Arabidopsis thaliana: one gene and its partner. The protein of the gene in region 1 purifies or fractionates together with the protein of each later gene. This does not show direct contact. Each region holds a gene or a part of one and is shown on either strand. Other genes may lie near its edges.

The links. Proteins that work in one complex are often made in the same cells at the same time.
Region 2: the proteins of ABH1 (region 1) and UBA1 fractionate together in Arabidopsis thaliana (co-fractionation; one large-scale study listed by BioGRID). This does not show direct contact.

Annotation. Positions count from the first base shown.
Region 1 is NC_003071.7:5,634,828-5,638,582, reverse strand, and holds the start of ABH1 (ARM repeat superfamily protein), read right to left. Parts: upstream 1,700-3,755; 5' UTR 1,531-1,699; coding exon 1,447-1,530; intron 1,363-1,446; coding exon 1,303-1,362; intron 1,204-1,302; coding exon 1,147-1,203; intron 662-1,146; coding exon 590-661; intron 482-589; coding exon 419-481; intron 246-418; coding exon 69-245; intron 1-68. UniProt on the Arabidopsis thaliana protein: Component of the cap-binding complex (CBC), which binds cotranscriptionally to the 5'-cap of pre-mRNAs and is involved in various processes such as pre-mRNA splicing and RNA-mediated gene silencing (RNAi) by microRNAs (miRNAs).
Region 2 is NC_003071.7:12,855,812-12,859,566, forward strand, and holds the start of UBA1 (ubiquitin-activating enzyme 1), read right to left. Parts: upstream 1,917-3,755; 5' UTR 1,700-1,916; intron 1,575-1,699; 5' UTR 1,559-1,574; coding exon 1,228-1,558; intron 866-1,227; coding exon 648-865; intron 351-647; coding exon 1-350. UniProt on the Arabidopsis thaliana protein: Activates ubiquitin by first adenylating its C-terminal glycine residue with ATP, and thereafter linking this residue to the side chain of a cysteine residue in E1, yielding a ubiquitin-E1 thioester and free AMP.

The sequences.
Region 1 (3,755 bases):
CATATCCAGTATTCTAATAGCCTTCAATGTAAATAATTTCTAGAATGTATTTAGTCCAAGAGCAGTACCTCAGCGAGTTCTGATCCTCCCCACGGGAGGCTGGACAAGATGCATATAACGTAAAAGTCAGCTTGTGGCTGCCATGATGGATTTCCTTTCTCTTCATCCACAGTAGTGGCAGCAGATGATAGCAATGTTTCGAAGACGACAATCAAAGAAGCAGGTTGAATAACCTTACTGCACAACTAAAGAACCCAACTAAAACATGTTAGAAAATAGACAAAACATCTCAAAATTTTCACAAATACTGTTCTATATACTTCGCACTTTTATTTTTTAGACGCTTTCTGTGTATTAGAAACATGAACTAACATATTAAATAGACGAAGCAACCATGAAACATGATTAGCAACCATACCAGGGAAGTCATAAAGCGAAGCAATATACGGATACTGTTGCAGTTGCCAGAATCTAAAGCGACCTGGCATGTTTGACCAAGAAAAACAGTCACATTAGAAACAAAAGTAACTGAGAAAACTTATGTTATCAATTTATCCTTGGCCTTTGATGTACAGATTAGATTATTCACCTGGAAATTAGCGTGGACACTTTCTACTAGCTTCTGGACAAAATCTTCATTCTCCAAGTTCAACAAACCAATCTTAAACATGTGGAAAGACATCCATCAAACTTCGAAGTATGTGTATCAGATTAAATCGAACTAATTTATAACAGGGAACAGGGTATCTCAGTTCAAAAATAGATCCAAATGCTACTTACACAGATAAGAATTATACACAGAAAATATTCAAGCATTCTTTATTACTCAGAAGTTAGCAAATATTGATGAATACTATGAATAAATAGATTCCTACAACATGTTATATATGATATAATAGACACAAAATGATCCACCTTAAGGGCATTTCCACTATTATTTGTGTTTCTGAAGTGTTCATTTGTTTCAAGTTAAATGCCTTCCGTTATTGCTTCGAGCTAATTATTCTTCGATAAGAATCAGTTCACAGATACCATAACATACTCAATCAAAACCTCCACATATATAACACATCTAAATGCAAGCCCAACATCCAACACATACCCAGAAATGAAAAAGCCAAGGTAACTAGTTTATAAGAGACTTACCAAAGTCCCATACAAAGGAATCTTATGAGGCAATTGTTCAGCACATTGTAGTAGAAACTGTTAAGACGAAAACAAAAATAATGAGAACACACAATAATAATATCCACAGAGATACATCACAACAGATCCTAAAATTGAAGGCTCGAAGTCACTTACAGGCAAAACTTGATCTCCAGAACGCTCGATTTCTCTACGAATGACACCGAAACAAGTCTCCTGTATATAGAGAATCGGAAAAGTTTTGAGTAGTGAGAAAATTAGGGTTTAAGAGCGAGGATGAATCGAGAGAGAGATACTGACGATGTGGTCTTTGTAGTCGGAGGAAGTGCCGTACTCAGGTCCCTTTTCGCCGATGCGAAGGAGAAGAGTTTTCCAATTGCTCATCTTCTTCCGAGAGGTTTTTCTTCAGTTCGTCTCTTTGTTGTTTCTCCTTTGGTATCAGTCACTCTGCCCTAGTTTTTTTTTTTATGTCCGTGTCTCGTCAAAACTAATTTTTTTTTTTTTTTCTCATAAGTGTTGTCATCTAAGAAAAGGAGTTCACAAAAAGAGTTTGACAAAAAGTTTTTCTCTCTCTTCTTTCTCTTAGTAGCTGAAACTAGCCGTTAAAACAATAGTCGTCCCAGTTAATTTGGAGCCTAAAGACTTTTCTCTCAGGTGTTCTATTCTGAACGGAGCTTCTACCAGAAATATTTACGTGTTCGGTCCGGTCTAAATTGTTGTTTTCTTCCTCGGATTTTTGGTAGTTCTGACTCTTTCTCTGTTACGAGAGTTTGCTTTGTGATTCTCAGTTCTGTGTTGGTTATCATCTGAATTACTCGGATTTCTTCACTGTTTTTTCTCTTGGAGTTTGTTTCCTGCAAATCAGGTTTGACGAGTTCGGGAAAGTTGTTTACTCTCTATCAGGATCTCATCATGGAGCTGGATAAAGCCATTCAGAATATGTCGATTTAAGACAATAAGCCTCTGATTCTTTCTGATCAACCGCGCTTTTGTTCAATTAACAGAAACAACTGTCGTTAGTTGGGTAGGTTTTTGAATCTAGAGAATCAAAGGATGTCTAATTGGATATTAGATATGCCACGAATTTGGAGAATTTCTTCTCGGGTTAGAGGTGTTGCTCTCTCAAAGGATCGATTCCAATTTTTCTTCAAATCTGAGGAAGATTTAGAAGAAATTATGAAAATTGGAGTTTGGACAGAAGATAAATTGGGGTGTAGTCATGGATAGATGGATTGAGAATCCTCCAATTGATTATCTGAATTTTCTTCCAATCTGGGGTCGAGTGAGGAATATTTCGGTGAACTATTATACTCAGGACACAATTAAAGAGATCACGAGCTGTATTGGGGAAGTGAAGGAGGTGGTGATGGACTCTGAAAAATCACAGTTTCAGGACTATGTTCGTGTTCGGGTTTTGTTTCATGTCGCCAATCCACTTCGTAACAATAAAGAGGTACAACTTCCATCTGGTGAAGTTGTCACAATTTCTTTTGACTATGAACAGATTAGAAAGAGATGTTTCTTGTGTCAAAGATTAACTCATGATAAAAATAGATGCCCATCCAAAGTCTTAGATTCCATCAAACATGATGTGAGATCATTACAAGAGAAAGGCAAACAGAAGAAGATGTTTTTACCGAGGCTGGCTGAGTTTCCCTTTCAGTCAATTGCTCCCAAAGGAAGGGTAGATGCTTTGCCAGCAAATCCTCTATCAGCTACTGTTGCAATTGATAGTCATCCAGAGAATACTTTGTTAGCTGAGATGCTAGATTTGGACATTAGTACTGGATTTACCACATGTGTTGGTGAGGCTAGTTCCTCCACTTCAGGGTTTAAACATCATATAATGCAGGATTTCACTCCTTTTCAGTTCAGGAAAGAAAAACTAGTTAATGAGCTGTCTCTGAAGAATAAGGTTATTCAGTCTCCTGCCTCTCCTCATTTTGAAAAGGTGTTCAAAAGGAAAAGAAAACCCTCAGACATTACAGAAGCTCAAAGTTTCAAGAGAGACAAGAATACGGTGGTTCCAAGTGAACCACCGTTGGATCAGTAAGGCGTCCTTAGTTGGAATTGTCAAGGCTTGAGGAATCCTTGGACAATTCGACACCTTAAGGAGATGAAAAAAAATCATATCTCGGACATTTTATTCTTCATGGAGACTATGAATCCTGACGAGTTTGTTTCAAAAGTTATTGATTGGCTTGGTTATAACTATATGTATACAATAGAACCTCAAGGGAGAAGTGGTGGCTTAGCAATCTTTTGGAAAAGCCATTTGGACATTGAGATTCTTTTTGATGATAAACATCTTTTGGATCTTCAGTGTTCTTCTAGAAATAAAGTATGCTTTGTTTCTTGTGTTTATGGGCATCTGGTGACATATCTTAGGCCTTAGGTTTGGGATAAGTTGTGTAGTCTTGGATCACATCGGAAGCAAGCTTGGTGTATGATAGGTGACTTCAATGATATTAAGTCGAAAACGGGAAAGAGAGGGGTCCGAGAAGAGTACCTTCTTCGTTTCAATCTTTTCAAGACATGTTGAATACTTGTGATATGCATGAACTAGGTAGTACAAGCAATGGCTTTACTTGGGGAGGGACTAGAAATGG
Region 2 (3,755 bases), 7.2 Mb from region 1:
AATGAATATGGCCGTGTACTTTTTATCTTCCTTGGTTTCCCATCATTCAATTCTGTCATACCCTCAACTTCTGAGAAAACAACTAGGTCACCATCTTCAAACTCAAGCCTCTCATCGTCGACACAGGAAATAAATGCCTGGTTCTCATTAGAGATAGACGCAATGATGCCTGTATGGGGTTCCTCTCCATCAACATCAAGAACCGCAAATTCAGGCCCAAAATCACAAAAGACAGAGCCGAAAAGACCCCTGACATCAGCCTTGACAAAAGCGATAGGAGGCTGATGGCTGTGACAATAGTCATCAAATTCGATTGCTCTTTCCATGCTTATGTCAGAGAATACAACAACCTGTTTGGCACAAAAGTAGATGTATCAGCGTAAAACCCGCCAACAAGAAACACACACCAATGAGAAAAGTGTACACCAATCTTCCATATCAATATCAATAAACACTAGAAATAGCCTAACACTAAATGAGACAAAACCCATCTCTTATATGCAACGAAAATAGAACAACCCACTCTTATGTTACTCATTCAGTTACAGTGTTATCATAAACTCACAAGTAATCTACAGAACGATACAGTACACAAAAGACTCAGACCATATAGAACCAATAACAAGACAAATGAGTTGTCTACAAACCTGGAAGCCAGAAAGATCCTCTTTGTTTAAGCTTTTGGTCAAGCTAGAGACAACCACAGCATTGTTAAGATCCTGTAACTTCTGAACAGAAGCATCTGCTCTATTCTTGCCAACATCATCCTCCGAGAAAACAAAGTTGCTTGATAAGTCCCATAGCTCTACAACTCTTTCATCATGCAAGGTCACAGACTTCACACCAGCAAGTATAAGATTCTTGGCTGAAGAAAATCAACAAATAAAACAAAAACTGAATGAGAAAGCAATCGACTAAAAAGTATCATTAACAGTTCACATTTACCATGCATCTTAGAAAACTGGCATATAACGAAACCCCAATAACAAAGATATCGAACAACTAAGGAACATCAGGAAGCTACTAAGATTTGGATGTTGAAGAATACCAGCAATCACAGATCAGGAGAACCAAAACAAAACAACTAAAGAGTAAAATCTTTGAAGATGACACAATTATTCACAGCTTCTAATAACGACGCATACGAAAACAGTGTTTCTACAAGTTTCAAAAACCAAAGAGACGAGGGAGACCACAATCTCAACATAAAACCAATGAAGTACATACCAATCTCGGCACCAAGACCGTGCATCCCCGAGATGAGAACATTGGAAGCAAAGAGACGCCTCATAGTCTCACGACCATAGACGGCGAGCTGGCGACTGTGCAGATCTTCATCAATCTCCTGACGGTTCGAATTACCAAAAGCCATGTCGATTTGCTGAACGACGCTATCGCCGTGAAAACCCCTGCTACTACCAGAAGCTAAAATCGAAGAAGACTTATCAGACGAAGATTCAGTGAAATCGATACGGCGTTTCTTAGATGATGCTAAATCGGAACCGATGATGGTATTATCGTTCTTATCGTTAGCTTCACTAGCTCGCTTGTGAAGCATAAAGTGATGAAAAAACCTGGAGAAAACATGTGAAATTCCCATTAGATTAGAGAACACTGAAGAGAGAAAATCCGATCAGAATTGAAATACCTAACCCTAGATTGATTCTTCGGAAGCTATGAGAAGGAAGATAAAACGTACCTTTGAGGAAAGCAGACGAGAGAAGATTGGAATCGGAAAAGAGAAAAAGTTTTTGAGATCTGAAAATTGAAATTGAAGTGACGAATTTTGCAGAAATCTCTAAGATTTATTTAAGAGAGACGGGCGAACGAAAGGGGTTCGGTTGTGGGGGGATATGAAACGATGACGTTTTAACGGTTAAGGTTTGATTTGTCGCTCTTTCTCCGCGTGATTGTGACGGCAACTCTCTGACCGGGGGACACGCGTCCGTCACTATTTCAAGACCAGATCCGGTTTAGTTAATTTCTTATGGATCCTTCTTATGAATCTGTATTAAATCTGAAATATTGCTTTCTTTTTTTAATTACCAAGTTCAAAAAAACTCACATCTTCTTTTGGATAACTGGAAACTTTAATATTATAATTAAATATTAGATCAATTTCCAGCTATGAATATTATAATTAAATACATTTTCTTCTAAAGTTTCTCAAAACAATCTTTTGAAAAAAAATTCATGACTTTCTATGACTTTATTTTGTGAAAGAAAATGTAGAAAGTCATGAACCAATAACATAATAATTTAAATCATAAACAATCAGAGATTTTTTTGTTTTAATAGAATAACACAAAAAATTTACTGACTTTATAAAAGTATGAATTCAATAATCTAAAATTTATGAAGATTTTTAGATTACTTTTTACAAATCTTTAATGAATAACACAAACTTTTAACATACTTTTAAATTTTTTTGATTAAATAACAACAGATTCTACATGATACTTTAAGTCACTAAAACTCTTTTGAAATCATAAACCAATAACACCTCCTTAACTCGTGGTTAGTTTATACAAAAATAAAACTCTATAAATTAATACTTGATAACTTACTTAATCACTATATTAATAAACGATTGTAAATTGAAATTTAACTTATGATTAGTTTGGTTAAAAGTGTAGATTTTGGAGTTGATGTTGCAATTCCATGGATAGACGATCTTGAAATATTTGATCGCAGTCCATGGGAGTGAGATTTCATCAACTTTCAATTTCTAGAGGGAGAAAGCAACAAGTCGTGGGTCTTCTTTTATCCAACTAAAAATGTTCATCTTGGATATTTTAATTGCAATGGTGCTCTTATAAAGTGGGGCAGTGTCAATTACTATGTTCATCAGTTTCAAATGGGTCAAGAAGTTGTGAGCACTTCTTCTAAACTAGCTTACTTAAGGTATCATGATGATTTACCCATAGAGTTTGTGGATGATTGGCTAAAAGGATGGAGTTTGGCAGAGTATAACTACAAAGGCAAAAGTCTCTACACTCTCAATTTCTCACCTCAGGCCAAGTCATTCATCACCCTAAGAAAAAACAAAAATGGAGTTGTGCAAAATATCTTCCCAAGACGAGTACTAATGATGCTGGTAAAAGAAAGGAATCCACTGGTGCTCCCAAAACGAAGAGGATTGCTAATAAAGACAAGGCTGACAAAGTGGCAAAGAAAACTAAAACTGGGGAAACCCTGAAGGTGAATGTACTTCAGAAGCAATACGAGTTAAAGGCATTTTGTCGAGCTCGACAGGCAGTATTGAGCTAACTGATAATGAGGGTAAGTGAAGAACTCTTCTATTTGTAAGAAAAAAACAGCAATTTAGATATGCTTAAAAGATAAGTTATCTTGTCAGGTGATCGTGCTCTATCTGATATTGGTGCTGCATTGGATGCTAATATGAGGAAGCAAAATCTGAAGCTTTAAGAAGGAAAGGCATAATAGATGCAGTTGAAACCTGGAAGCAAGCTAAGGAAGAAGAAAAATGGCTTCGTGACTACGAAAAGGTAGGTGAAGACCTGTGATACATCAAGAGAAGATTGACTTGATTAAAGTAAGCATTTCTTATTATATATTCTTGATCGTCTTTATAGGATGGAAACCTCTTCAATCTTGTAACTCGTAAGAGGAGAGTACGAACACTTAGAACGTGCTAAGAGTCTTGTCATGCAAATTCCTGGTGAGTCTTTATACGCGTAACCCTATTACCCTCTCTTTTTGAAGTAATGAACAAAGACTTAAGATGATAGTAT